Linked DNA regions of Caenorhabditis elegans. The protein of the gene in region 1 interacts with the protein of each later gene in a pairwise test. Each region holds a gene or a part of one and is shown on either strand. Other genes may lie near its edges. The genes, in order: nurf-1 and nhr-5.

Evidence for each region.
Region 2: the proteins of nurf-1 (region 1) and nhr-5 interact in a two-hybrid assay, tested with the Caenorhabditis elegans proteins (one large-scale study listed by BioGRID).

The regions. Positions count from the first base shown.
Region 1 is NC_003280.10:14,384,216-14,398,200, forward strand, and holds the start of nurf-1 (DDT domain-containing protein), read left to right. Parts: upstream 1-6,498; 5' UTR 6,499-6,504; coding exon 6,505-6,797; intron 6,798-7,468; coding exon 7,469-8,125; intron 8,126-8,223; coding exon 8,224-8,308; intron 8,309-8,368; coding exon 8,369-8,631; intron 8,632-10,011; coding exon 10,012-10,283; intron 10,284-10,470; coding exon 10,471-10,792; intron 10,793-11,106; coding exon 11,107-11,539; exon of another isoform or gene 11,540-11,592; coding exon 11,593-11,817; intron 11,818-11,859; coding exon 11,860-12,194; intron 12,195-12,869; coding exon 12,870-13,007; intron 13,008-13,470; coding exon 13,471-13,806; intron 13,807-13,985. Other genes in the region: Histone-lysine N-methyltransferase mes-2, read left to right, coding at 1-427, 811-1,379, 1,822-1,970, 2,015-2,232, 2,653-2,845, 3,111-3,343, 3,560-3,770, 4,003-4,084; F26H11.8 (uncharacterized protein), read left to right, coding at 4,298-4,353, 4,405-4,609; kbp-3 (Kinetochore-binding protein 3), read right to left, coding at 5,083-5,110, 5,376-5,469, 5,513-5,641, 5,697-5,850. UniProt on the Caenorhabditis elegans protein: Histone-binding component of a NURF-like (nucleosome remodeling factor-like) complex, which would catalyze ATP-dependent nucleosome sliding and facilitate transcription of chromatin. Involved in vulval cell fates.
Region 2 is NC_003282.8:15,394,430-15,411,371, forward strand, and holds nhr-5 (Nuclear hormone receptor family member nhr-5), read left to right. Parts: upstream 1-5,847; 5' UTR 5,848-5,903; coding exon 5,904-5,973; intron 5,974-6,021; coding exon 6,022-6,083; intron 6,084-6,093; exon of another isoform or gene 6,094-6,114; intron 6,115-6,342; exon of another isoform or gene 6,343-6,363; intron 6,364-6,540; coding exon 6,541-6,679; intron 6,680-6,727; exon of another isoform or gene 6,728-6,748; intron 6,749-6,858; exon of another isoform or gene 6,859-6,879; intron 6,880-6,902; coding exon 6,903-6,965; intron 6,966-7,040; exon of another isoform or gene 7,041-7,061; intron 7,062-7,142; exon of another isoform or gene 7,143-7,163; intron 7,164-7,368; exon of another isoform or gene 7,369-7,389; intron 7,390-7,398; coding exon 7,399-7,571; intron 7,572-7,635; coding exon 7,636-7,881; intron 7,882-8,013; exon of another isoform or gene 8,014-8,034; intron 8,035-8,733; coding exon 8,734-8,882; intron 8,883-8,912; exon of another isoform or gene 8,913-8,934; intron 8,935-9,065; exon of another isoform or gene 9,066-9,087; intron 9,088-9,444; exon of another isoform or gene 9,445-9,469; intron 9,470-9,594; exon of another isoform or gene 9,595-9,615; intron 9,616-9,631; and 29 more. UniProt on the Caenorhabditis elegans protein: Orphan nuclear receptor.

The DNA.
Region 1 (13,985 bases):
GTAAAAGACGAGCTGGACACAGACATCAAAGATTGGTTGAAGGATGCGAGCAGCAGTGTTAATGAATATCGCAGAAGGCTGCAAGAAAATTTAGGAGAGGGCAGAACTATCGCAAAATTTTCATTCAAAAACTGTGAAAAATACGAAGAAAACGACTACAAAGTCTCCGATTCCACAGTTACATGGATCAAACCGGATCGAACGGAGGAAGGAGATTTGATGAAGAAGTTTCGTGCTCCGTGTTCACGTATCGAGGTTGGCGACATTTCCCCGCCAATGATATACTGGGTTCCAATCGAGCAAAGTGTGGCGACTCCGGATCAGCTGCGGCTCACGCATATGCCGTATTTTGGCGATGGTATTGACGATGGGAATATCTATGAGCATTTGATTGATATGTTCCCAGATGGAATTCATGGATTTTCGGGTGAGAAATTGCAAAATACCGGATTTTTTCCATTTTCTCTGAGAAACCCCCAAAAATCGAAAAAAAAACAGGCGGGACGAAGGTACCATTATTTCTATTTATTTTTACATTTTACATTCAAATTGCCTAATTTCTCACTTTTCAGTGAGAAATCGCCGTAAAATTTTTTTGAAATTTTATTTCAATTAATGTCATTTTGAATGTCAAACACAAAATTAGTTTTAAAAAATAGCCTTGAAAGTGAAAAATGCGAAAAACAAGTTCCCACTTGTCCACGTGTAGTTCTAAATGTTTCATAAATCGACATGCATCAAACCTCGGGACAATCTTGCAAATCCTTAGCTCCAGGTATTTTTTAAGCGAATTGATGTTAAATTTTTCAGACAACTGGTCCTATGTCAATGATTGGATACTCTACAAACTATGCCGTGCTGCGCTCAAAGACTACCAAGGCAGCCCAGACGTATTCTACTACACCCTCTACCGTCTATGGCCAAACAAAAGTTCACAGAGAGAATTTTCGTCGGCTTTTCCCGTTTTGTGCGAGAACTTTGCTGAAAAAGGATTCGATCCGTCGAGCCTCGAACCATGGAAGAAGACAAAAATCGCTGAAGGTGCTCAAAATCTTCGAAATCCGACGTGTTACGCGTGCCTCGCATATACATGTGCGATTCACGGATTCAAAGCCGAAATTCCAATCGAGTTTCCGAATGGTGAATTCTATAATGCGATGCTTCCGCTGCCAAATAACCCGGAAAATGATGGAAAGATGTGTTCTGGAAATTGCTGGAAATCGGTGACGATGAAAGAAGTTTCAGAAGTTCTTGTGCCGGATTCTGAAGAAATTCTGCAGAAAGAAGTGAAGATTTATTTCATGAAATCAAGAATTGCAAAGATGCCGATTGAAGATGGAGCGCTCATTGTGAACATTTACGTGTTCAATACATATATTGTAAGAGTACGCGATTTTTGCGCCAAAACCTGGCCTCGACGCGACAAATTTTTGTTAAATGCGAAAAGGCGTGCGTCTTTGAAGAGTACTGTAATTTTAAATTTTCAATAATTTTTCTAACAAGGGAAGAGTTCAAAAACTATTCCTGAATTCGGAATAAAAATAGTGTCATGCGATAGTTGGAGGTCTGAGATGATCCCTCCGAAACATTTTTATTGAAAAATTATATTTCCAGTGAAATTAATTTCTCGCAAGTTTTCTCTTTTTTTTAAAGCTATAAAGCTTGATTTTGCACCTTTTTCGTTATTTTGTTTTTCATTTTGCGTTTAAGAGTTTGTATATTATGTAAATCAAACTATTTTAAACAAAAAATAGCGAAAAATAGGAAAAAAGGGTGCAAAATCGAGCTTTATAGCTTAAAATGCAAAAAATCCATTCTCAGCCATTCTGCGAGTTTGTCAAAAAATATGTCGACGAAGACGACGAGGAAAGCAAAATTCGTTCATGTCGTGACGCATATCATCTAATGATGTCGATGGCAGAAAATGTGAGCGCCCGACGACTTAAAATGGGACAACCGTCGAATAGATTGTCAGTTGACGCGATTTTTTATATAAAAAATTGAATTGTTTCAGAAGTATCAAGGATCGAGTCAACAACTTCCGTCGTAATCAGTTGAGTCAGGAGAAGGCGAAGCGTAAGCTGCGTCACGACAGTCTGCGTATTCAAGCATTGAGAGATGGTCTGGATGCGGAAAAATTGATTCGAGAAGATGATATGCGTGATTCTCAGCGAAATAGCGAGAAAGTTCGCATGACCGCGGTGACGCCAATCACAGCGTGTCGACATGCGGGTGAGGAATGGAAAACAATTATGGGGTTATTCGTGAAATGTAGAAAAATGCAATAATTTGTTTTTATACATTTTTCACCTACCCATGTGCATCGAACAATGTAGCATTAATTTTTTGCATTTTTCGACATTTTTCGGCATTTCCTGCATTTTTCGACATTGGGCGACATCCCACTTCTCATGCTGAAGGCGAGACACGCAGAGAAAACCCGCGGGTGCATATCTCTCTGCGTCTCTCGCCTTCAGCATGTGAAGTGGGCTGTCGACCGATGTCGAAAAATGCAGAAAACGAATATTTTTTTGTATTTATTGGACACACATGTATTTATTGGACACAAATGAATGAAAACACATTTTTGCACATTTTACTACATCGCATTAATAACCCCATTAATTGAAAATTAATTTTTAAACATTTCAGGCCCATGCAACGCGACAGCCGAAAATTGTGCATGTCGTGAAAACGGAGTGTGCTCGTACATGTGCAAATGCGATATAAACTGTTCTCAGCGATTCCCGGGATGCAATTGCGCCGCCGGTCAGTGCTACACGAAGGCTTGCCAGTGCTATCGAGCCAATTGGGAATGTAATCCGATGACGTGTAATATGTGCAAGTGAGTGCACAGGAATTTTTTGAAAAGTTTTTTTAGTAAGCTTTAATTTTTCAGAACTTCCAGAAATGGAAATTTTAAGAAAGGAAAAAATTAAACTTTCCAAAAAAAATTGATCGAACTGAAAATTTCTCGAAAAAGAAGGACCAAATGTCCATTAAAAATCTTCAATCAAAATCCCAAATTTAAAAAAAGGTATATAAAATCAAAATAGCACAGAAAAATCGAATTTTGTACCTGAAAATTCTCAATTTAAAAACAAATTCAGATGCGACGCCATCGACTCGAACATAATAAAATGCCGCAATTTTGGAATGACTAGAATGATCCAAAAACGAACGTATTGCGGGCCATCGAAAATAGCAGGCAATGGACTTTTCTTGTTGGAACCCGCCGAAAAAGACGAGTTCATTACGGAATACACTGGTGAACGAATTTCCGATGATGAAGCCGAACGACGCGGTGCGATATATGATCGATATCAGTGCAGCTACATTTTTAGTATGTACTTTTTTTAGATCACGGTGTCGCAGAAAAATGTTTTAAATTTAAATTTTTTTTGGGTTTTTAGAGACAACATTTCGATTTTTTGAAAATCAAATAAATAAGAAAAAATTATTTCAAAAAATTAACAAAATATCGAAAAAAAAAACCATCAAAAGTTTTCTTTTTTTTTGAAAATTCAATTTTTCGGAACAAAAAAAAATATTTTTGCAGACATTGAAACCGGGGGTGCGATCGATTCGTACAAAATTGGAAACTTGGCACGATTTGCCAATCATGACAGCAAGAATCCGACGTGCTACGCGAGAACGATGGTTGTCGCCGGAGAGCACCGAATTGGGTTCTATGCGAAGAGACGGCTTGAGATTAGTGAAGAGCTCACATTTGACTACAGTTATTCTGGAGAACATCAGATAGCGTTCAGGTAGATTTTGCAAAAAGCTTTTCGGGTCTCGAGACGACTGCAGCTACCGTACCCTCTAGTTTTTTCCACTCAATTTTTAAAAATTTATAACACAAAGATTTTTTTGGATCAAAAAAATCATGATAAGCCGTAGAAAATTGTGGTTGGTTACGGTAGCTGCAAATTTTCGGTCGCTTCGAGAACCAGTTTTGTGTAGACTTTCAACTTGACTTTTTGAATAAACTTTTTCCAGGATGGTCCAAACCAAGGAGAGATCCGAGAAGCCCAGCAGGCCCAAAAGCCAGAAACTCTCCAAACCAATGACTTCTGAATAATCTTTTTTCTTGACTTTTTTTCTTAAATTTTTCCCGTTGATATCACTTTCAAATCTCAAGATCTACTTGTTTAACTGTTATTTCCCTAGAATCTCATGTTTCTGAATACATTTTCCTTCCTTCAAATTTCTGAAAACCATAAATATAATCGAATCAAAATTCCTCCTATAAAATCGCCCGACACAGCACAATTTTTTCACTTCTTCCTTAAAGATGGTGATTTTCTTCTTATTTTTCTTATTTCCCATGCTGCTGGAGGCTTCGGAAACGTAAGTTGGATTTTTTTCTGCAGGAAAATCTGAAAATGACAAAAATTCCAGTAGCAGAAGCTTAATCGAACCACCGGCCGTAATTCCTGAGAAACTCAAAACATTTTGCCAGATCGATCCAACGTACGAGATTTGCGTGAAGCTTGGCATTCCGAAAGCTGCGAGAAAGTTTGCAGCGAGATCCAAAATCCAGGGAAGACAGAGAAAAGGCGTCGATTGTAGGCAGGCCCCATTGCATCCGGGTTGTCAGAGATAAAAATGTTCCAAATATTATAGAAAAATTCCAATTATAGAAATGTGTACCTGGACAAGTTCATCGCGTGGAAAATTCATCACGATTGCGAGGTGAATCCAAATGGAGAATTTTGCCCGAAAACTTTGAATCGGAGAGCTTCTGCTTCTTGTCCATCCTCCTCCACATCTTCATCGTCTTCTTCGTCGTCGTCCTCGTCTTCCTCATCATCATCCTCTTCTTCTGAAGAATCCCTGGCAAGAGTGAGACCGGCTCCTGTAGAAACCACGACATCACAAGAAAATCCACAATCTTCCGCTAACACCTGGGAACTTTTGAACAAATTTTCCTCGAACGGAAGAGAGAAGAGTTTCCCTAATACCTTCTACGGAACAATTGGAAACTATTGAAATGTGATGATGATAACAATATAATAAATGAAATGATTTAATATACATGAAAAGAAGGCATAATTGATACGTGGATGAAAACCAGAGTTAGACCAAGATGTTGGAGAGGTTCGATCTGAAAAAAATACACGTTTAGTTTATAAAGAAGGATTTTTTGGTTAAATAGCTTTAAAATGGACCTATATAAACGAGTCTGGTGGTGAAATATCAAAATTTTTACCGCTCTTCAGTGCCGCCCGCATAATAATAATTAAATAAACATTAAGTTCCGACTGCTGCCAGCCACACAGTAAAGTAGGCAAAACTGAAGATTTTAGTCCAGATTTTAAAAACTTTTGAGCAGTTTCTTCACAAAACTTATTTTTAATTAAATCCCTTACAATTTCTTTCTATTCCCATCGTTAGGCTCATTCGGCGTGGTTTTCAAGAGATTGACGTCATCCGTCCACTTCGCAGATATTGCTTCCAATTTTTCTGGAGTAAATCAGATAAATTGTTTCAAAGACTATCAGCTTACTGTTAAATTCCCGCTCATTTCCAATTTTGTTCTCATCGTCCAATCTTTTTAGTTTTTCTTCCAGTTGCTCAGTTTCAAACATATTTTTGTTCAGTAGCTGTTGTTCGAATGACTGTTGCTCGTGGCGTTCTGAACAAATGTTTTGTTTTATGCACACATCTAAACAATTTCCTTGCAAATTTACCATCGATATGTTTTTGAGCATCGATTCTCGTTTTCATAATTTTTTCCTGGCATTTTTGGAGTTTCCGCATTCCTTCATCAACTAATTCGTCTTTCTCATTGACTGCCTTAAGACGATTAATAATCTTGTCCATATACTCGTTGAGTGACTCCATTTTGCCGAAAAACCTGCAAAAATTCAATGAAAATCGGTTAAAAACTAAGATAAATAAATAAAAATGCGACAGCAAAATTAGCAAAGATAAATTCCAACTCAAATTCCCGCGTCAAGAGGGCCAAGGTCTCGTCGCGACCATTGCAAATAAATGTGTGCGCCTTTAGGGTGTGCCTCTCGCACTGAGTCGATTTACGGCGCGGCGCGTTCAAAAAAGTGTCCAAACTGATTATTTAGACGGAAAAGTGAAGGAAAATTTCGGAAAATTATTATTTTTCCTTTTTTCCCATTGTTTTTTATGTTTCCACTTGAGAAAAGCCGATTTTCCGCTGGAAAATGAGTTTTATCCCATTATCGATTTTTTCAGCTTCAAAAATTAAGATTTCGTACTGTAGTTTACCAATCCTGGATCCTTTTTTAATGTATTTTTATCTAATAATGTTATATTCCGATTGTCATTTCTCGCAAATTTTATTGATTTTCCTCCAAAGACCATATGATGACGTAAAATCTTTTTTTCTTGGATTTCAAGCTCTTTTTCACAATTACCAGTGTTCTAATTTGATTTTAAATTTATTCCTTTCGAGGCTTTCAATATTTTTTGACGAACATTCTTAAGCTTATCGATTTTCGAAAAGTTTCGAAATTTTTTCAGATGGCTCCACCACGTGGCCGTTCAAAGCGAAAGCATCCGTCTGAATCCGGAAATTCTTCAATTGCCGATTCAGAAGACCCATCAGAATCCACATCATCATCTCGTCCACGCCGCAGTCGACTTCCGAAACGTTATTTTGACGACGGTTACAGTCCACCGCCAACAAAAAAACGTGCGGCTCAACGGGAAACACCATCAGACGCCGAGGAGGTGGAGGTGAAGATTGAAGAGATCTCGGTTAGATCTACACCTGCGTCAACACCAGCACCAAAGAGTACCTCGAAGGCTAGAGGGTGAGAAATCAAGAAGAAAAATAATTTCAGAAATTCCGCTGATTTCAGATAATTTTCAATTAAATGCTTTTTTCAAGTTTTAACGCAAATTCTTAGGATATTTCCGCTTTCGTCAAATTTTCAATCGAAAAAACGTATAATACGCTTTTTCACGTCGTTCACAACAAATTATTTAGATTTAAAGAAAAACTATGCAAACCCATTTGCGATGTACAAAAATTTGTCGTTTCGAGATCATATTTTCGCGCCTGGGTAATACCGAATACAACTGCAAAATGTTTCGAATTTTTGCAAATATTCAAATTCCGAAGGAACTATGCTTGCGTTCTCCGGCCAATTTTTCGGGTTTTCTTGATTTTTTCTCATTTTTTCAGAAATCGAAAATTCAAAATTCTTTTTATGATAGTTTTGCGGAAAAACGCCTGAAAACGAGGCTACAATTTGCATAATCAAGAAAAACAAAAATAAAGTGTTCCGCAAAAAAATTAAATTTTGTTTTCAGAAAAATGGAATTTTACTCAAAAATTGAGATTTTTTTTTCACAATCATGGATTTTTTTTCCAAAAAATTGGGAATTTTTCTGAAAAATCCCAATTTTGCAAAATTAAGAATATTTAGAAGCTATATAAATCTGCCTGTTCAGATTAAAAATAAATTCCATCAATTTTCAGCCGACCCAAAAAAAATCCAACTCCACCACGTCGCAAATCGCTAAAACGCCAAGAAGAAGACATTATCTACATGGATGAGGATTCTGAAGAAGAAGAAGAATCTTCGGACGATGAGTTCATGCTAAATGAGGATCAGGTTGTTCAGGAGGAAGAGGAAGAGTTGAATTTAACAGATATTAAAATCGAAAAAGGTCTCGACGAGGAGAACAAGTATTGTCCGTGGTTGGATGAAGATCCTGCAAGTCTACCAAAACTCGAACTACCAGAATCTAGTCAGGATATTCCGATTCCAACGGCTAGTATAATGGATGCTGTTGAAATTTACGAGATTCTCCGATCTTATCATCGAACTCTCCGCATCACACCCTTCACTTTTGAGGACTTTTGCGCGGCACTAATATCGCACAACAACTCATGTATTATGGCAGAAGTCCATATGGCTTTGCTTCGTAATTGTCTGAAATCCGACGATGAAGAGCAGACGCACTACTCGGTGACCGAGACGAACAATTCTGTAAATATAATGATTCACCATATGGATACACTGACCTACGCTGAAATTCTACGACAATATATTGAGGCGTACCCGTTTGCTGATGCGTCTGTTAGAGATGCTATTAATGTCGATAATTATCCGTTTGTGGGATATGATGCAAAGTAAGATTCAATTTTAAGAAAAATCCTTTTTTTTTTAAATAAAATCGCAGTATACAAAGAGACTTTAGTTTTTTTTTTAATATTAAGCATGTTTTCAGACTCGTCGTCCTTCTCTTCATGAGCTACCGTTTCTTATATTCGTCGGAATTTAAGAAACTTGTGAATAATGTTGGAAAATTCCAGGTAAAACTCTCGTTATATAAAAAATTTAACTGAAAGAAATTCAAATGTTTTTTTTTTCAGAACGACGAAAACTGCCGAGTTTGCGGTAAATCGTCAGGACGTGTAGTAGGTTGCACTCAATGCGAAGCCGCTTTCCACGTGGAATGCAGTCATCTGAAGCCATTTCCTGAGGTTCTTGTATGCAATATATGTAAAAAGAATTCAGCAGTTCGTGGTGTACTGCCGCCGGATGAAGCTGTCGACCGGGAACCGTTAAGATCTCAACCAATCGGAAGGGATAGATATGGACGATATTATTGGTTCATTGTTCGACGTCTTGTTGTGTAAGTTTTTTAAAGTGGAGTAGCGTCTGTGCTTTTTTTACCTGAATGATAGAATATCGTGCCTATATACCAAATATAACTGTAAAAAATTATAACATTTTTCTAAATTTTTTAATGATTTGTTTCAATTTTGAAAAAATAAAAAGGGCTCAATTATTTTTGAATTGTCGCGCAAATAAGTGACGTCTTTTTCGGATGTTTTGATTAGTTTTTCTTCATTTTTTCTTTGTTTTAATATTTGTAGATTTTTCAGACATTTTCCGGACAGAACACTTTTAGAGGCCAAATTATCGATTTTTAGACAAACTTTAATTTTTTTGGCACATCAATTTAATGTTTGAATAAGTATTCTAAAATTTGCCTAAAATTTGCCTAAATAATATGATATTTTTAAAAGGTTTTTTTACGGAAAAAAAGTGTCTGAAAAATTGACGTTCAAAATTTTCAAATTATAAAACAAAGAAAAAATAAAGAAACTCCAATTAAAACAGCTGGAAGAAATGCCGTCACTCATTACGCACGGGAATACAAAAATAATTCAGCCCTTTTTTTCAAAATAAAAAAAATCATAAAAAAATTAGAAAAATGTTATAATTTTTTAACAGTTATCGTATATTCTCTATTAGTGCTGCATGTAGCACTAATTTTCCTACCCTTCTTGAATGCAGCACTATTAGAGACTGCAGTATTACTGGAGACTGCAGCATTAATCTTCAAACGGCAATTTTCAATTAGAGAATACTAGTTGTTAGTCACAAAACCTCTTATTTTTAGCAGAAATTCATCAAAAAATATGAACTTTCGTACCAAGAATGACCCAATAATTCAATTATGTTTGTAAATAAAAAGAAATAATCAAAAATATGCAAAACAACTCCCCAAAATGCCGAAACTACTAGTGACTCTTCCAATTGAAAAAGGGACGCAGCACTAATAGAGACTGCAGCACTAATTTTCCTACACTTTTTGAATGCAGCACTATCAGAGACTGCAGTACTACTGGAGATGCAGCACTAATAGAGAATATACGGTATACCGTATTTCCTCTATTAGTAAGGCGTCTCTAATAGTTTTGCACCTCTATTAGTATTGCATCAAAATTATCTATCGAAAAATAGTTTTGCCGCCTCTATTAGTTTGGCACCTTTCATAGTTTTTCACCACTATATTTCTGTCCTATTTTTTGAGATTCCAAAATTTGCAGTATAAAATCCTTCAACAAATCAAAAAAAAAACTCTTACAGACATGGTATAACATTTTTTACTAATAGAGGAAATACGGTATTTGGTATATCGGGACTGTATTCTGTCATTGTTAGGGCAAAAACCCACCTTTAACTATTTTATTGTTGGCAAAAAATTAATATTCAATAATTGCAGTCAATCCCTTGATGAAACGGAACTTTACTACTATTCAACAGTTCCACAACTCTACCAACTCCTTCAAAAACTTGATCGAACGTATTACGAAAAGGATCTTTGTGATACGATTCGCCTTCGAATCGACGAGTTTTTGGAGCAAATGGCTTTGACAGTGGAGATGACGTCAGAACGGAGAGAAGCTGCATTGGAGACGATGGTGAAACGGCAATTGATCGGATATGATTTTGCTGAAGCCACGACTCCGCAGATTTATCTTCATAGGGATAGCAGTTAGTTTATAATTATGGACCGTTAGCCTCAGATTAGAGGCATCACAGATTCAAGATCTGGCTCGATGCCAACGCATTTTTTCTAAAAAAAAATCGCAGTTGGTACGGTGCCAGATCTGGAAATCGTAGATCCCACCAGATCTTGAATCCGTGGAACCTCTCAGATTAATCAACGAAACTATTACAGTGAAACGAATGGCATCAATTCTTCGGGACTGTGCTCAAAAGGGACAGGTGAAGCAAGAAGTCAAGCTGGAAGAGCCCGTCGAAGGACAGTCGCCAGTGAAATGTGTTCAATTTGTCGAAGATTCCATTCTGCCCGAATCAATGATTGGAATTTTCGATGCGAAACTGATCAACACGTTTTGGAGTGGTGGGGCGACGCAAGAGGAGCTCGTCGAACAGTTTGTCGATATTTCGGACAACTTTGATGCCCCGAGTGCAAACCTCTGGCGGATGGGAGATGAGGGGAATGATCAGACATTTATGACGTATTATAATTATTATAGGTAAGCTTTAATTGATTTAATTTGAAAAATTTCTTGGAAAAACAATAAAAACTAACTGGAATGATCGAAGAAGAATTAATTTTAAAAATCTAACTTTTCAAAATGTCTACTTCAACTTTGCTAAATTTCAAAAAAAGTGACATATTATATTTTCTTTTAAAATAAAACGTTTCATAAAAACTTTTTTCTTTGCCATTTTTCTCTCTAAATTTAATTTTTGACCAATTAGAAAAATACCGAAATTTTTTAGAATTCAAAGCAATTATCTGTAAATGTACTTGTTTAAATTATTTCTAAAATTTTTATTATTGCAGTCGAAACGAGATGTCTGAGAGCTTCCTAACCCGGAAAAAGGCGGCGGATAAAAAGAAGTATATGGCGTCAAAATTCGCTCAAATCGACAATTTCGATTGGGTTGTGGCGAAAAATCGGCAATTCTACGGAGACGCGAGCCTCCATTGCAAGTTCATCATGTGGACGCTACAACAAGTCATCAAGAACATCCCGATAGATTTGATGCATAGGAAATGGCCTGAATTCGCCAAAGGTTTCGATCTGGAAGTTTCTGTGGCTGATGACTACAAGAAGCTTGTCACATGTCTTCTCAAACTGGATTGTGCCGTTCGAAAGACAATATTCATGCCGCAATGGTGGAATGGATTGGGACAAACTCGACTGGAAAGGATTACTGTAGATCAGAGGGAGAATTTTATGAAAGAGCAACAGAGGCTCAAGAAGATTGACGCGGTTAGTAAACAATTTTTTTAGAAAAAAAAGTGAAACAAGAAATTGTGGTTCAGGACGCCCTTACCAAAGATCTTGATGATAGTTTTGTCCGAGTGAACTACATGAAACCGAAATGGCCGAACACCTATATACTTCGACAGCGTGGAGAGACTTATCGGAACGCTGGAAAAGGATCGATGGGTGGTTGGGCGTGGGTGGCGGCGAAATACGTGGAAAAATGGATCCAAGTTCCCGAATCACCGAAGTTACCGCTGGCGGTCACTGTTGAGGAGATAAAGGTTGGAGATTAAAAGTTTTCCAAAAAAATGAAATATTTTCAGACTGAAAGCGTTTCGAACCGGAAAGCTCGTCGACTTGAGCTGCTGGTCAGCAAAATAACTAAAAAACGACAGCGAAGTGGTGGAAAAAGCTCGAAAAAACCAACATTTGAGCTCACAAATGGGTGTTATTCGCCATCTTGCCGATCAAATCCCAACCGGAAATGCTATTCACCAATGTGCCGAAATGGTTATCTAGTCAGTGCTAAACAGGCACACGATGAGCGAAAATTAGAGGAAAGCGGAGTTTTGGGCGAAGAAAAAGCATGGCCGATACCAGAAATTCAGACTTTTTCGACGAAACGAGGAGGAAAAAGCATTTTTGTTTTGCAGAAAAAGTAGGAGAGTTTATCATCAAAAAAAGTACGAAAAGAAGCGGAAAACTAAAAATTTCCAATTTTTACACATTCTTTCGAAATTAAGAAAAAAGCGAACATGCGAGCATTTTGTGAAAAATTGGGAAAAACGCGAAAAACACGCAACATCTTTTTTTTCTATACAAATTGTTCAAAAAGTAGAGGAAAACTGAATATCATCAATTTTTCACAATTAAAAAAAGGCGCAAAAAGAATCTTAAAAGCGAAAATTTTCGACAAAGTAAAAAAAATGCAAACAATTTTAATTTTCAATTTTTACACATTTTTCCAACAAAAAAAAGTGCAAAGAAGCGCAAGGCGGAGTTTTTTTGAGAAAGTGTGAAATAACATAATATTTTCCAATTTTTTCAAAAAATTTTTTTTCTGATCGTCATTAAAAAAATACTTTAGAAATAGAAAAAATGGTTCCGGTAATTTTTTTTGATAATATTGAAATTAGACAGTTTCCTACGAAAATCGTGGAAAATTTTAGATTTTTCAGTGTTTTTTATAATAACAAAATTGAAATGCTCTAAATTTGCCGACCAAATTTCTCATAGTTTTTTTTTTGGCCGAAAAACCAAAAAACTATATTTTCTCCCGAAAATTCCTAAATGTTTCTCTATACAAATTAAACAATTTTCTCAAAATCTGCAGTTCCAGAATACTTCGTCAAATGATTATGGGCGGTGGATGCCAACAGGTGTATATGCCAGGATTCTCAGCTGGTATAAAGAGCAATTTGCTAATATGGCCTTATCCGGCACCTCGACCAACTCTGGATTTGTGTTGGAAGTACGTTTTTTTAAACGTTTTTTATCAACTGTTGCAGAAGAAAAGTCAGAAGGAATTTTAGAAAAAAAAATCGACGTTCGGGAAAAAAATAAAAATTTCGAAAAGTGAAAATCATATGTTCAAAATTTTGAGTGAAAGTTTTGTAAAATTTCCAAATAGACTTTTTGAGGCAAGTCCGGCAATTTGCCCGTTTGCCGACCACCACTGGTTTAACTAAAATAATTAAAACACAGTTGAAATATAAAAGTCGAAAATTTTTGGCACATTTTTTAGGGCTAAAGTTATGACATGGTCGAAAACTCGAATTAAAACTGTTTAACAATTTGTTTCTTCTAGACGAAATCAAACATTTGTAATCAAAAAGTAGGGTTTCCATGGTAGGGAGGCGGTTTGAGGGCCTGACGCCTGCCTAAAGTCTGCCTCTTTTTTTGCATTTTCAAACATATTCAATTCTATTTTTCAGATGGCAAACGCTGAACGCTCGTAGCCTTCACGCGGTGGCTCTTCAACTAAAAATCATTTGGTCCTCCATCAAATTCAACGAATTTGATCCAGACGACACTCATCCGGATCGTCGTGTCGTCATTGATACACCAAGTCACGATGAACGACGCCGAATCATTCGGCACAAAGAAATGCCACCATATGGACAATACGAGCGATATGAGATGGAAATCGAAATTATCCCATTGTATGACGAGCCGGAAGAAGAGGATGAATCGTGGCTCTCGAGGAATCGAGGAGGATCTTCGGAATTCTCACATAGATCGTCGAGTGCGAGAAAAAAGCGACCGCAGAGGCATGAGTTTCTATCTTTGAAATTCGGAAATTACCCGAAAAAAAGTAAAAACGCTTTCCGGTTTTCTCAGAGATAATCGAAAAGTAAAAGAGAAAAAACATGAGGAAACATATTTTTCTCCTGAAAAGCTATTTTTCGAAAAATTAAAATTTTCGATTTCCCATTTGAAAAATTAACCC
Region 2 (16,942 bases), on another chromosome or scaffold:
ATCAGTTTTAAGAAAATAATATTCAAACTTGAGAAAAGTTTGAAACCGTAAAAAATATGAGCTCTAGAATCCCAAATATTTGACTTTCTAGAAAACAAATTAGTACGAATCAGTTTTTTTTAAATCCAAAAAAAAATGTTGGAAACAAAAATTGTATATCAATTCAACGTTCTAGTATCTAGATTGTAAAATTATTTTTAAAACTCAAAAAAGTAAATAAATAAAATTATAATCTCATCACTTCCAAAATTCTTTTCACACCTTTTTCTATTTATTTTCCTTATCACTTTCTCAATTCTTGCACTACAATCTAGTCATCACCATGTTTACAATCAATTTTGGATCAAAAACTGTCTCAGCTGTTCTGTTTCTTCCTTTCGACTCGTTTTTCCAGTTTTAGTTGTTGTGGAATATGTACGCGTAAAAGTGTTGTGTAAAAAGTTCAAAGATCCATCTTGCATTTGTTGTCTGCGGCCGACAAAAACCGGGTCCGTCAAGCGGACTCTACCGCACATTATGGCGGCCTGTCAGGTGTCGGGCGCTTGATTCATTTCTAGGGAAACAAAAACTCGCGTTGTTAAAAAGATACTAATCTAATCCCAAGCGTAATCCCAAATTTTTATATAAAAATTTTATTACAGTTTCATGTCGGGAGTAAAAAATTAGCACAATTTGTTCAGATATTGAGCACGTCATATTTTTATTATTACAAAAAACAAGTAGTTTGGCGCGTTAAAAAATTTCTACTTTTCCGTAGACAAATTTGAAATTTCGAAAAATTGTGCTGTTTCATATTGGTTTTATAAGCTTTTCAATTTCTAACGAAACAATAATTAAATTTACTTTATGACGATTTAATGCAATAATTTAAGCTTCAAATATTCAAAAATCCCTGAATTTCAAAAAACGTGACTTTTGAAAGTTAAGATTATCTTCTGATAAGATAAGGCAGAATACAAAAAAGATGAAAATGTTATCAGACTTTTTGCAATTTATCAGAAAATTTAGATGATCCTAGGCATGGTGATTATATGGGTGGAAGTGAGAAGAGATATTTCATTTCGTCGCAGAAACTTTTTCTCTTCCCCACTGATAACTGATTTACGGATGTTTTTTAGTCAGAATTTTTGTACCTTTACTGTATTTTCTGATTTGATAAGGTTTTTTTTCGATTATCGGAAAAACAAAAAATTTAATAGCGCCCGACGTCTCACGGGAAAATTTCTGAGCCACAATGGTTTGATGAGATGCCGTGAAAATGTCTTTAAAAAAACTACCGTTTCACACAAAACATATAAAAATCTTTCGGTTTTCGGATTGATTGCTTTAGAACGCTCACAGAAATTTTCTAAATTTTATATGTTTGTTTGAAAATTGGAAAAATCTCAGTTTTGCCACTTTATTGGGAATCGTCGCTTGAAAAATTCATAATATTTTAGTGCCTGCGTATGTCTCAAATATCTTAAAATTCAGGCATTATAGAGTTTTGAATATGCGACAGTGTCATAGTTTTGAAAAATTTTCCTGTTTCATCAAAACATTTAGATTTATTCAAAAACGTCTTCGATTCCTTTTCGGAATATGTGTAAATTGAACAAAATTTTACTGTTTCACTAAAAAGTCATATTTGACCAGACTTTTCTTACAACTTAATTTATCTTCTTTTTCGCCGAACAATTAATCAAATATTATAAAAATCTGACGCTTTGGGAAACTGTACACATTTTCAAAATTGTCAAAAGTTTATTTTCTGAAGTTGAAAATTGTTTCACTGTGTGCATATTTAATGTAAATTTAAACATCCTTTGATTCCGTTTTCTTTTTTGGAGTTTGTTAAAAAGTGGTTTAATTAATTTATACAGTAGGGAAACTACAACTTTTTCAAACTTTTTCTTCGTAAAGTTATAATTTTCGCTTCTAGTTTATTAATGAAAAAAAAACGTATTTTTTGTGAAACAGTACATATTACTGGCATTCTCCAAAAAAATGTCTCAGTATTAGATTTTTTGGAAAAACATTGTTTCGCTATTAAGTTATTAGAAGTTGTACTCGGAGCTTATTGATGAAACAAAATTTAAAAAAAGGATGGAAACATAGCATTGATACTAAAATTATCAAAAAATTTGGGTCTTGGAAGTACATATTTGCAATTTTTTGTAGACTAACGTATAACAACTATTTGAAAAAGTACTTTGAATTCGAATTTTAGGAAATTTAATAAAAAATAATTAGAAAGCAACCCAAACAAAAGTTTGAATGAATTTTTAGTGAATTTATGAAACATGGCGCATAAAATTTTCCAAAACTTGAAATTGTAAATAAAAAATTATTGGTTGGCGGGATTGTAGTGGAGCTAAAATCTCAAATAAAATGTTTCAACTAGTCTTCAACTTGACCTAATTTTTCTCAGTTCAATGAAATTGTAGTAGACTGCTGCCAAAAGATTCTTTTTTTTTGCAATAATATTCGACTATGTGACTAAATTTTCAATTTTTTGTTCGACCTATTTATCAATTTTAAAGTGAGATAACCAAATTTCACTTCTACCGGAAACAGTAAAATTGTTTTGTTCCAAATTTGCTGATAAAATTAGTTTTGAATGAAAAATTGTTTCACATTTTCCTTTTTAAGACAGACTCAAAACTTTCTCAGTATGATATTTTCTCTCCCTCTTCCTGAAAAAAAATGAGGTTTTTATTTTCTCAGTCACGAGGAATACCATCTGACTTTAATTTAAATAAGTGGATAAAATTCTGTCTGAAACAGAAATTTTTTTAAAGTTTTTTGTTCCGATTCGTTCCCAGAAAACTAGTCTCAACTAGACTCATAGCCAATAAAAATCGTAAATCGGATTTTCCATTGAACGTATTTTTAAAAAACACGATTTGGACTTTTAAGTCAGATTTTGTCTAGTATTAAAATTATTATCATTTTTGAAGAAAATATCACAAAGTAATAATTTTTTCAAACTGTTTCAATGTCTCAATAAATTTTTTTGAAAAAATTTAAAGGACAATGACAACTTGTTACTTATAGTTGAAAGTAGGTGCCATGCTAATTCAAAAAGTTTACTGTTTCACAGTTATTTGAATTAAAATTTAATAGGACACAAAGGTGCTTTGTGCTTTTTCGAAATTTTGAGTTTTCTTTTTTTTAATTTTGTTCAGGGAAGTATTTTTCTAATTATGCTAAAGTTTTTTTTCTTTTTTTCTAGAATATTCTTACCAGTTTTGATGTAATAGATAGAAACGGTAAACTTCATATACTTAGATTTTCTGCTTTTTTTGAGTACTGCTCTACAACAGTGAGATACCCTGGAGGAGAGGTAAAACATATTTTCGTACGAGATCCTACCATTTTGAAAGTTTATTTAAAAATGCCTACTTCACTAATAACTTTTCTACAAATGACTAGAAAATAAAATTTTTTAATTGGAAATGTTTCAAAGATTACTGTTTCAAAATTTCCATGTAATTATTTCTCGTTAGAACAAGAGTAATGTCCAAAAATTCAGAATCCAGTTTTCATTAACAACACCTGTATACGGAAAAGTTCTGAAAATGCTTTTCTCTTTATATTGAGAAGCAATTTACAAGACCCGACATTTCACCAACAATCCTTTTGGGGGAACCCGCAAGATGTCGGGCGCTATCAGACTCAAAAAAAACTCTGCTAAAGTGTGCCGTAATAAAAAAGTAGCAGCCGACATATTGTCAGATTTCTGAGGGCAGCCCCGCGCGGTGTCGGGTGCAGAGTAATGTACTTATTCTCAAATTTCAATGATTTAGCAACATTTTTTAAAGTTTTCTTCATCCTTTTCTACCACACAGTTAGAAGAATAGTGATACGACCTTTAAAATTTCCGGGAAATTCAAAAAAAAAAAAACAAATATTGCTTCAACATTCTCATAAACCCTGTTACTTTTCAACGGTAATAATCTTGTCAATTTGTGTTAAAGCCGCAAAAATGTCTTTAATAATATTTCAAAAAATTGATCCAAGTTTTCCCTTTAGGACTTTAGGACTTACGGTAGAATATTTTAAAAATTGCAACAAAAAAAAAGAATATTGTTTCACAACCTCCATAAAATGTTCAGTGTTCCTTTAATCCCATTCGTATCGTTTTACTTACAATTTCCATTTTACTGAAATTAAAAATTTTCTCGTGATAAAAACGATTTCTGATATATTGCGAAGGCCAAATCGATCCAAATAATCAATCACCTCCAAACTTTGATCGTTCAACGCAAGAAGCCCGCTTAATTTGAAAAAATCGTCGTATTGGTCAAGTTTCAACTTCCCATCACTTTTCTCTCTCTCTCTCTCTCTCTCTCTCTCTCTCTCTCTCTCTCTCTCTCTCTCTCCACTAAATACTTCCAACCGCACAGTTCAAAGATAGAAGATATTTATTCCATGAGATAGTGTGCTGGACTGAAGAGAATCAGAAAATCTAGTCTTCTGATCAGAGAGAGAGAAAAAGAGACACATGACCGTACTTGACGGCGACTTGTTTGTCGGTAGAGGGGGCCTGATTCTTTTTTGTATTGATTTCTCTCTTCTGGGTTACTGATAATTCACTTTTTTGGAAGGAATTTTTGTGTTTCCGCGCAATAATGTTTTTTTTCTATATTTCGAGAATTCAACTTAGGTAATCAACAAGACGAATACTGCTGCTTACAATTTTTCCAGATCCCATAATTTTGAAACTGTAATAAAATTAACGAAAACATTTATTTTTTTTGCTAGCAGATTTATTAAGGGTTTTTGGTAAAAATCAGGAGGTTGTTAGAAATATTAACTTTAATGAACTTCAGAAAACGGTCTAGAAAATTTGATATTCCAAAATCTCATAGCATTTGCTAGTAAAAACAATTTAACAAATAAGCATCACCATTTTAATAATTACTGAAACAGCAAATTTTCAAAAAAAAATTACATAAAACTAATTTAAAGCGTTTATAATTTATAATTCAAAAATGTCTACTTTTTCTGAATGTTCTTATATTTTGAAGTTAAGTTTCTCGTTATTACAAAGTTGCTTCAATGTGAAATTTATACGCAAAAGCTTTGAATTTTGGAATAGCTTCTTCTATTTTTTCTGTTTCGAAAAAATAAAATTCGATAATTTTTTACCGAATTTTTTTTTGGTGCAGAAGAGATTTTAGAAACGGTAGAAAATGGTGGTTTTCAAGAGTTTTCAAATTTTTATTTTTAATAAAAAGTTATGTATTTTGAATATCCCAAATGTTCAGTTAATTTCAAAAAAAATTGATTGTTAAAATTCACAATTTTCTACTTTTTCTGAATGTTCTCAAATTTTAATATAATTTTTTGGAATCAATAATTGTGTCATATTCAAACTTACCAAAAATTTCTTAAAAGTGTATATAAAACTTTTCTGGAATAGCATTGCATTTTTCATCGTTTCAAAAATAAGACTTTTTGATTTTGGTTTGATTTCTAATTTTGAAAATGATTTAGAATAATTAAAATTTTGGTGAACACCCCCTATTGTCAGTAATATAAAATCGGAGAAATTATTGATTTTTTGAAACAGTAATGACACTTTTTGAATACAAATTTTATTTCTTCTGTAATATTTGTTGTTAATTATTCTATTTTTCCCATAATTATCCTTTTTTTTTTTCGAAAATCTACTTTCAAAGAATTTTTTGTAATTTCTTAATTGATTCCAGCTTATCATTTGAGATACCAAAAAAACCAGATATAGCAATTTTATAACAAGACAGGCATTAATTCACACTCTCATTGAAACAGTGGAATTTTTAAATTTTCGATTTTTTGAATCTTCTCTTCAATTTTCTTTTCATCTAATCATTTTTTTTTCAATTTCAGATAATCAATCTCATTGCAAAGTCTTTCAATTTAATTTGACATCAATTATGTCTTCTGGCGGTAACAGTTCAAATGTGAATAGAAATTCTGGGAGTAGCAATGTGATTACTTTGAATGGTATGATTCCCTGTTTGACCAAAAATTTTTAAACTTTAAAATTTTCAGATTCTGACGAAGAAACCGAGGACAGCAATTTGGGCAGCAGCTCGTCCACAAATCTTTGCAAAGTTAGTTTCAAATCTTTGCAAAGTTAGACTAGTATTGCACAAAAATTTCTAAAATTGTTCTAAACTTTTTGAAACAGTAATTTTTTTCCTATAAAAAAAGTTTCCACACTTTTAAAAGTTCCTCACTAAAATGTTCTGTGACCAATTTTTGTTTTATCGGATTACGGAATTTAGAGTCTGTTTGCATCATTGAACCACTCACAAAGGGGCACATATTTTGAAAAATCACGTGAGTTTTCGTATATGTAGTTAGGACGGGAAAGTTTTTTTCAATAAATTAATATTATTGTCTAAAGCAATTGCCATTCCTGGAGAAGGTGAAACAGAGCTTTATAAATTTTAAATTAAGTTGACAAAGATTTAAATACAAAACTTATCCTGAATCTTCGTTGCTACAAGTTGCAAATTCCCGTAAATTAAAGTAAAAAAATTATGGGGCACATCAATTACATTTCAGGTATGCGGAGCCGAAAAAGCTGCTCTTCACTACGGAGCACTGAGCTGTGTCGGATGTAAAGGCTTCTTCCGTCGGGCTCTTCTGAAGGCTGATCAACTGGAATGTGCTGCAAATGGAGAGTGTACAGTTAGTGTTTTGCGTGAGTTTGACATTGGGAATTGCGCAGTTTTTTACTTTTTTTTACTTTTTGAAAGCTATCAAAGTCATATTGACATTCTGTTTGAGTCAAAATGTATATTTTAGTGTTGAAACAGTAAAAATTATAAATTCGTTAAATAATTTTAATCATAAAACCTATGCAATTGCGCGCTTGAAACAGTTTTTCCTTTACCAAAGTCAATTTATTGTGTTTTTTCTTTCAGAGAAAACCCAATGCAGAAGCTGTAGATTCAATAAGTGCCTACGCGAAGGAATGAATCCTGCTTGTGAGTTTTATTTTCAATCCAAAATTTTTGGAATTTTTTATTTATTTCTATACGATTTTTAAATCGTGACATAAGTTCGAATATACATAAAAATAAATCGTTTTCAGTTAATACCTGAAAGTAAATTTTATTCTTGAAACAGTAGTTTTTTTTTTCAATTTTTGATTTTCCAGACTTTATACGTTTTGTGTTTTGATATCAATTCAATATTTAATTTTTCCGTTTATAATATAGCAAAAACAAAAAAAAATTATGCAGTAAAGCAGTTAAACATATTTGGAACAATATAGCAGTTTCGAATGTATTAAATACTATTGAACTCCCCTTTTTAAGACAAAAATTATTTCAAAAATTTTCAGTTTCAAGTTTCCCATAAATGTTTCAGCTTTTGTTTTAACGGTACTCATCCTTCAAATTTAATATGATATCTCAGATGTCCGCCCAAACCGAGACGCACCTCCAAAGCCACGTAAGCCGACAACTACAGTAGCCACGTGCGATCAAACTGATCGTGGTAGGACCACAAAAAGCCGCGAGGAGTGGATGAAAAAGATGACGGTTGAGATGAGAACAATATTAATGACACTGTTGAATATTGAGACAAAAGTAGGTATTTCGCGCGGGGGCCTCGGTTATCGTCGGCTGCTGACACAATTTCTATTAATTACAGGTAATGAAAGGAGATACACAACAAGAAGCATCAAAACTGTACCCGCTGAAAGGAATTGATAAGCTCAGTGATATCATTGAAACACCGATTCAATTAAAAGGAAAACGAACAGAAATGAGATATGAAGCATACAGAATGGCTGGAAATGATGAGTTATGTGCAATTGCCTATCGGAGGTTGATTGCTGCAATTGATTGGGTTGAATCGCTGTCACCACTGTTGGGACACCTAACGCCTCAGGATAAGGTAATAAATATTCTTTGCAAAGTGAGAAAATAATGGAATTTAGAAAAAATAAGTTTTAGAAAATTGAAAAAAATAAAAAAAAAATATTGCTTCACCCTATTTATTTAACTGACGTTTGTTTCTACAAAGCGCTCTCCATTCATTACTTGCTACATGGCTTTATCCTCAAATTTAGTTTTAAAGTGGATTTAATTATAATTGCTAGTTTTTCTTCAACTTTCTGGCCTGATACTAAATCTCTTTGAAAAACTTTGATTTCGCTGAAAAAAAGGTGAGAAGTTGACACAGAACACCTTTTTTCAATAGTTACTGTTTCAAAAGTCTTTAAAAAAAAATTCCAAAATTCCGAAATTCCAAAATTTTATTTTTCAGGATTTTTCTAATGTTGACTGCAAATACACTTAAAATAAAAAACTGCGTGGCGTGTACTGCAGACAACCTAATATTTAGGCCCCGCCTTTTTTTCGTCTACTCACGGGATAAAGGCGAAATTCGGGACCCCAACCAATATCATACCGCCGACATCTCACGGGTTCCGCGCGCCGCTGCGTTTAACTCGCTGTGGGCGTGGTGAGCTGTCTCCGCCCGCTGCGAGTTAAACATAGCTGCGCGTGGAACCTGTGAGATGTTGGCGGCCTGATATTGGTTGGGGTCCAAATTTTTGCCTTTTCTCCGTGAGTGGACGAGAAGAAGGCGGGGCCTAAATATTAGGTTTTCTGCAGTACACGCCACACAGCTTTTTTTCATTTTTAGTGTAACATCATTTGCACAAAAAAATTGGTTTCAAATTGTTTTCAAAAAAATTCCCAATTTTAACTTAAAAATCACGCTTAATTAATAATATTCCCTCAGATAGCACTGGTCAAATCTTCATTCGCCCCACTTATGGTCTTCAATTTTTGTGCGAGAACAGCAGAAGCTTGTCAGGATGAGAATGTTCTATGCCTTTGTAATTTTGCATATGTTCCACGGAATATATCAAAAATGTATGAGGACACATAGTGAGTTTTAGTTTTTTTGAATTATTTTCTTGGACTTTATGAGAAGTTTCAATATTAAATAGAATAGCTAGCTAGAATTCACTAACAATGTGAAACAGTAAACATTTCTTATTCATATTTGTTTATAAAGTACATATGTGTCCAATTTAGGAGCTTGACGGAAAATTAGCGAGGCAATCACAAAACCTTACAACAATTTGAGAAACATTTTTTCCTAATTTCAAACACAAAAATAATGTTAGTGTAACAGTGAAATTTTTTAAAAATCAACTAAATTGTTTTCTAGGTATTTCTTCATTTTAGAAATGAATTTCTAAAAAAATTCTTTTTTGTTTAATTGATAATGCCAATTGAGAATATTACTTGTACAAATGCTTTCACGACTTTAAATTTTCATATGTACATATGTTCTTTGCTCTTATTTAAGACTTATGACGCCACGCCACGTTGTGTGAGTTTGACAGCAAATTAACGGGGAAATCAAAAAATAATAAAATATTTTGATAATGCCATTTGAGAATAATACTTGATTTGTCTATATTTTGAAGACAATTTTCACTTATTTGGTTCGATGTTCTTGTAATTAAAGCCTCAAAAAGATCATGCACTTTTCAAATAAGTTTGAAACAGTGAACAATTTTTCAACTTGAAATGTTTATTCTCGTTCCGTTTCGGTAAACTATTATATTAGTCAGCATTTTCAAGAATTCATTACTTTTGTATTTCTTAAAATCATTTCAAAATTTCAGTCACCTCGGCAACGGACTCGTGGAACGTGCTCTAAATGAGCTTGTAGCAGTATATCGGGAATATGGTATGAGAGAAGAGGAAATTGTTTGCGTGAATGCAATGATTTGTCTGAATCCTCTGGCAAAAGATGTATCGGATTCTTTGTTTGAAAAGATTGTTGAGCTGAGAAATCGAATTGCTGATTGTCTTTTTTCAATTGTTAAGGAGGTTCGATTAAGTCCGACACCGAATGTATGTTACGGACATATACTTCTTTCATTGGCTACTGTTACAGTAAGTTCATATTTGTTTTATTTGTTTGACGTTGAACAGAGTTTTTAAGGGATTTGAAACGTTGTTTTATTTTAAAAATTGATTTTTTTAAAAATGGTAAAACTTTTTTTCCGTTTCGTGTAATGATAAGCAACAATGGGTTTCGAGTGATTTGTTCAAGGCGCTTTAAACGTTATAGGCTTTTACTGATTTGACGACGAGAAAAATATTTGTAGAGGGTTAACTCACAATTTTTTTGGAAATGTTCAACTAGAAAGAAAATGAAATTTTAAAGTATTAAAATCTTAACTTTGCTTCTACACAGTCACACATTTAAAAGTTAAAATTTTGAAAATCTACCGTTTCAACAATGTTTGATATTCATTTATTATAAATCTGAACTGTTTGTTTTTGGATTCATATTTACTTGCCTCATTCGAATTTATTCTAAACTACTTTTATAGTTCATAACTTCTCCAAATTCATGTTCCCCAATTTTTGCAGGAACTAGCAAATGCGATGAGTGAAAATCTCCAATTTGCTCAAACATTTTCAAATCAAGGAGAAATTCCACTTCTCACTGACTTATTCGGCTGTTTCACAGTTGAACCATTTTTCAAAGAAGTCGACGAGCTGGCGGCAATGAGTTTGGAAAAGGCGAAAGCTGAAAAGAAGAAGGAAATGAGTACACAAACTGATAGGTTGCCTCCTCCAAGAGCATTATTGGTCAGTTTTGATATGAATTTTGAAATTTCAAGAAATTGTAGAAATACATTGTTCTGCCAAAAAAAATGATTATTTTTTTCGATTTTTTTTTAAATTATAGTTTTCAATAATACAAAAGAGACCAGACTCGCAACACATTTTAAATTAGAACATGATTTACATTAACTTGACGAAATTGTACTTTTTTTTGAAAAAAAAAAGTTTACTGTTTCGTGGCTATCATTTAATTCAATACCAGACTCTTTCATATTTTATGCAGTTCTCTAACCGAGTAATATTTTCAGAAACGACAAGCAACTATCGATGAGGACAGCGAAGAACCTGCTCGACAGAATTTTCGACTTTTGCAGCCTCCAAACAATTTCTACATTACTGAAATGTTGGATGATTTGAGGGTGAGCTATATGTTTTTAGCATTTTTTTTTCGTTTCCTTTGTGTTTGCAAGTTCCCCATGAGACATAAAGAGTCTGAAATTTTTATGAGTTACTTATTCTTTTCACAGTTTTCAAGTGATTCAAAATACCAGTAAGTTAATATGAAATATTTTTCTTCATAAGCGACCTGCACATCATTGTGTTTTTCCATTAGTCATTAGTTTTTCAAAACTAGTTGAAACATACAATTTTTCTTGAGAATTCCAATTCCAAACTCTTCCGTTTTGTTTTTTTTTTAAATCTACTTTATTTATGATTTAGTTTTGAAAACGAATCACATAAAGTGAATAGAAGTTTATCAATTTTCAAATTTATTTTTTTAAACAATCAAATTGTTATATTTAGCTAATAAGAAATGATTTTTTTAAAACTCACCTAATGTTAATTTTTAGAAGAAAAACAAATTATTCTACATTTTTATTAAAAATTTATTATGTTCCATCTGAAAGAAGATAGAAATTAAAGCTGAAATTATATAACTGATATTTATAAACGTTTTGAAACAGTACGAAATTTGTTTTTTTTTTCAAATTCTTATTTCTCGACGATTTGTTATATGGAATAGCTTTAAAAATCAATTTTATATTAACAACTCGAGAAACTGAAAATTTTGAAACAAAAAAAATTAAATCAACTGTTTCATCTACTCTATATTTTCTTTCCACTTTAAAATTTTTTTAGTTCGCTCGTGTTGGCAGATAATTTCAATTTTCAACATTTAAATGTTTTTAACACTATTTAAATCCTTCAAACAAGAACGTTAATTTCTAAAAAAAAGTATTTCTAAAATTAAATCAACTGTTCTACTCACTCCATATTTTCCTTCGCTTTAAGATTTATTCAGTGCTTCTAGCAATTCCACAATACCTACTTTTCCCATTTCCCACATTTTTTCCATTGTCTCCCTACGTGTTCCAGGCACCCTCTTCCACCCAATCGTCGTCTGATGATCCTAATTCTGCTATGGTATCCACACTGTTTTGAAATTAAATTTTATTCATTTTTCAGAACAATCACGCCGAGAATCATTTGATAAGTCTCAACTTTGACGCTTCAAACGTTTCGAATGCAATCGCTTCGAGACCCAGTTTTGAGGATTTGGGTACTGTACCAAGTGGTTCAACAGTAACACGACGAATTGGGAGTAATATTCAAGGTTTGTGATTTAATGATATTTGAAACGGTCTGATATATTGAAAAATTGTTCGACAATTTGAATTTATTAACATTGTGAAACAGTAAAAAACATGTTCTAAAATTTGTGTTTCTGGAGTTGCCAAAAACCATTGCTCATGAAAAAAAAACACATTTTCAACATTTCCAGGACCATCCCACCTCCCTCAATGTGGTTCTACAGTAACCCAAAGACCTACAGTACCCTCCTCCACAACATCCTCCACATTCTACAATTTCCCTCCACCACCTGGTTATCCACCATTAAATGCTGGATACACACCGAATGTCAACTATCCGAATTTGTATCAACAACCACAGTATTTCCAGAATTTTCAGCAAAATAATTACCCATCTCAAGTCATGGAACAGCAAAATTATGGAAATGTTGAAAGTACCAGTTACCCATTTCCACGAAATGATGGTTTTGTGTATAATCATCCGAATATTCCATACTCACATCATAATAATAGTCTACAACAAAATAATTTTCATAATCAATATGCAAATTAGGTCTTCAAATGATCAAGCGTCCGACACCTGACGGGCCAGAACCCGTAAGATGTCGGGCGCTTTTCTTTTCCCCCTCCTCCTCCACATTTCCTACAATCCGGTGGCATAATTCTTCACTTTTCATATGGTTTTCTATTTGGTCAAATGCTGATGATTTACGTGTAATTTCTCCCGAATTTCTATCAAATTTCTTTGCGATTCTTGCGATAATATGTGATTTTCAAGGTTTTATGAATAAAATTTTATATTAAACTTTTGTGTGTTTTCAGTTTTTGTTTTGCAAAAATTTTAATTTTTTTAATTTGACTGGTATAATACGAGGCAAAGTAAAGCACAATAATCTTTGATAATTTTGTAAAGTTTTTGAAACGGTAGATTTTTTTAAATAATTTTTTTTCAACACTTAACAGCTCTATACTAATTTCACGGTGAAATGTTCTGTTTTTCGATTTTTCCTGGTCAGATTAGGGAATTCGAAGTTTGTTCTTATTTTCAACATATATATTACAGAATGATGTGAATTTTTGGTTTTGAAAACCTTGATTGATTTGATTTAATCATCAAAAAATGATCATTTTATGTAGAAAATGTGAAACAGAGCATACACTTTTCTCGCCACTTGGTTAGTTCCGAGCATTTTTATATTGATTTTTAATTTTTTTTTTCAGAACCTTACAAAAACAGATTTTGAAATTCGAGAGGTCCACGATAGCCCGGCTTGCTCCCAGGCGGACATGCCTACCGTGCCTACCTTATTTTTTATTATTTCGCAAATTTTAGAGCTTATATAATATTTGACACCATTTGTCACAAAAATTCTCGAAAATTGGCATTTTTATTTATATTTAAACTGTTTAAAAATCAATTAAGTTTATCGGCATTCGGAAACAGTAAACTTTATTTCGAAAAATGGTTAGTAGAATAAAATATTTGTTAAATGAGAATATACTTTTAGAGAATAGAAAAACAATTGCTCCAAAAATTAGGCAGCTTCTTCAAATTAGTGAAACATGAAAAAAGTTAAAAAAAAAGGTCTCAAAAAGAAATTGGACAAATAAATGTTAAAAATTATATAATAACAAAAACCTGAAACAGTACTCGAATATTTTCTACTACAACTTTCGAAATAAACCCGACTCAGCAGAATTTGTGAAATTTTTTGAAAACAAATACGTCTTGAATCATGGTAAATGGGTCTCGCACGGATTTCATAAGCTTTTATAAAGCGTTTTCTGACTTTTTGAATGAAATTTTCTTAAAATTACCGGAGTTTCTTTAAAAAATGGTCATCAAATGTGATATAACTAAAATTCGAAAACTTTGTCAAATTTATGAAAACAGTGAAACATTATTTAATTCCTAAATGCTTAATAAATGCATTGGTGGCAAGTTTTTTTTTAAATTTAATTTTCCACAGAGTAAAGTTGTATATTATTTCGAAAAGTTGAAAAAGCAAAAGGTGAGAGACAGGTCTGCAGAGCCGAAAAAGCTGCTCGGAGCATCAAGCTGTGTCGGTGGTAAAGTCTTCTTCCGTCGGGCTTTTCTGAAGGCTGATAGACTGGAATGTGCTGCAAATGGAGAACTTGTAAAACACATCAACTTTTTATTGATTGGAAAATTGTTGTGGTAACGAAATTGTTGTTGCCCCATTGACACTATGATTAAAACAAACTTTAAGTCTCAGTGTTGAAACTGTAAAAATTGTAAATTCGTTTATAAAAAATTTAAATCCTACGTTTTTCTAAAATTACGCGCTTGAAGCAGTTTTTTTATTAAAAAAAAAAGAATTTATCATTATGTTTGTAGGAGAACTCGTCCCTTTCTTTTCATATCATTCCTTTCTTGTGACTCATAGCACTTTTAATATCACAATGATTGCCTTGCAGTCTAAGTTGCATTCTTCCCCCTTGTCTCCCGTTGTAAGATTCTTCCTATTTCTCGGCCCCACTTATTCTGTATTTATACCAGCTCTTAGGAGCTGTTCTATCTTCAATAAACCGGTCACTGCCTGACCACAAACCAACAATGTTTTTATTTTAGGCATAACTCCATGCAGAATCTGCAGATTCAACAAATGTCTACACGAAACAGTTTAATCGTTCTTCAGTGTTTAAGTTTAAAAGGGGAATATATAATATTAAGATGTTCTGTATAAAAACCGTCGAATAATGAGAATATCTACATTCGTGGCGCAAAATATCTCTTAGCAACTTCTACCGTAGTATTCAATTAAAAAAAACAATTTGGACAATTTTTGGTGAACGGCCAGAGTCACTAAATTTGGTGAACGGCCAGAGTCACTATTTTTGGTGAACGGCCAGAGTCACTATTTTTGGTGAACGGCCAGAGTCACTAAATTTGGTGAACGGCCAGAGTCACTATTTCTGGTGAACGGCCAGAGTCACTATTTTTGGTGAACGGCCAGAGTCACTATTTTTGGTGAACGGTCAGAGTCACTATTTTTGGTGATCGGCCAGAGTCACTATTTTTGGTGAACGGCCAGAGTCACTATTTTTGGTGAACGGCCAGAGTCACTATTTTTGGTGAACGGCCAGAGTCACTATTTTTGGTGAACGGCCAGAGTCACTAAATTTGGTGAAGCAGTGTATTTTAAAATCTAATGTTTCAGAATATCATTAAATTCCAGGAAGATTTCAACAATCAGTTTTATTTCATCTATGAAACAATATTTAACCTTACAAACTAAAATAGATCCAAAAAAAGAACCAAAAAAGAAAAAGAATCCAAAAAAAACGAATGATTCCTTTGTTTTTCAAAACTCTGACTATTTATTTTTTAGCTTTTTTGAATTAAAACACTTTTGCGCCTTCTTTTTTGAACTGTGATTCACGTTTCAACACGCTATTATCAGTAGTCGTTCAGAAATCTTTTAATGGCAATTTTATTTTATAAAATTGGTTTGGAAATGAATTTTCAATAGCAATTTGCTCGTAATGGAACCTAACATAAATCAAATTTTTATTGTAATACAAGTTATTACTTCCTTGGAATAATTGTTAACTTTCAGTTTTTTTGAAATCAGATCTGTGAAAACAATGATTATAATAGTAATGTTGACTATCTGTTCACAATAATTGTTTAAAAAATGTTTATGAGCTTTGACAACATATTGAAACAATAATTTCCCAAATTCATTTTAAAAAGTTTTTGTATGTTTGTATTGCCATCGACAGAAAAAAAATGTTAAATATAAAAACGTGCTTGAAGGTGTTATTTTGAGAAAAACTATACCGACCGTATCAATAATTCTAGATGATTTTTTTTTGAGTCTGTTTCACGTTGTTTTCATTATTAGATTCGATTTTTGAATAATAGTGGTCTGCCAAAGAACACGTTGTTAATATATAATATAACTTTTCAGCGTTAGCCAAATTTTCACCAAATAATATCCTATCGCACTATTCGGAGCAAACTTGGCTTCACGTCCAACACTTTTTGGGTTCCGCCCATCGCTATAAAGATTTCGATCGCGGCGTGGGAGCGACGCCGGATCGGAGCCCTAGAATGACGTATACATTTTCACAATGTACCATATCAACTCTCACACTTTATGATATTTAACTTAATTTTATTTATTTACACTCGCTCTCGGAGAGACGTGGAGAAAATTTTTTAAAAAAACACATACAGTTGATCAATTGATACAGCCAATCATTTAATAGATAAACTATAAAGTCATGCCAACTATAAATTTTGACGATATATTGAAACATTACTCTATTAATAGAATGTTCAGTTTGTTGCTTTTGCATCGGCAGAAAAAAATGTTAGCAATGAAAAATGAAAACCTGTTTCAAAATTGTTATGATAAGTTATGATAGTGTTATGTTATGATATGTTATGATATGTTATGTTATGTTATGTTATGTTATGTTATGAGGTTATGATAGTGTTATGATAGTATACTACAATCGTCAATGCACACAGACGGTGAAAGAGCAGTGATTGACGGTGTAGTGGGGATAAACAACAGTTCACTGGATTTTTTTAAAAGAATAATTCTGATGATACCAATTTTTTTCTGAAACCAACCTAAAAAATATGAAAACGTATTGAATTAATTAAGAAACAGCAATGTTTACTTTGTGTTGAAAACCAAAATTGGACACCAACAAATTTAAAATTTTGTTATATACAGGATTGTTATATACACTTCAATTTCAAAGACAACAATTAAAAAGATGTATAAT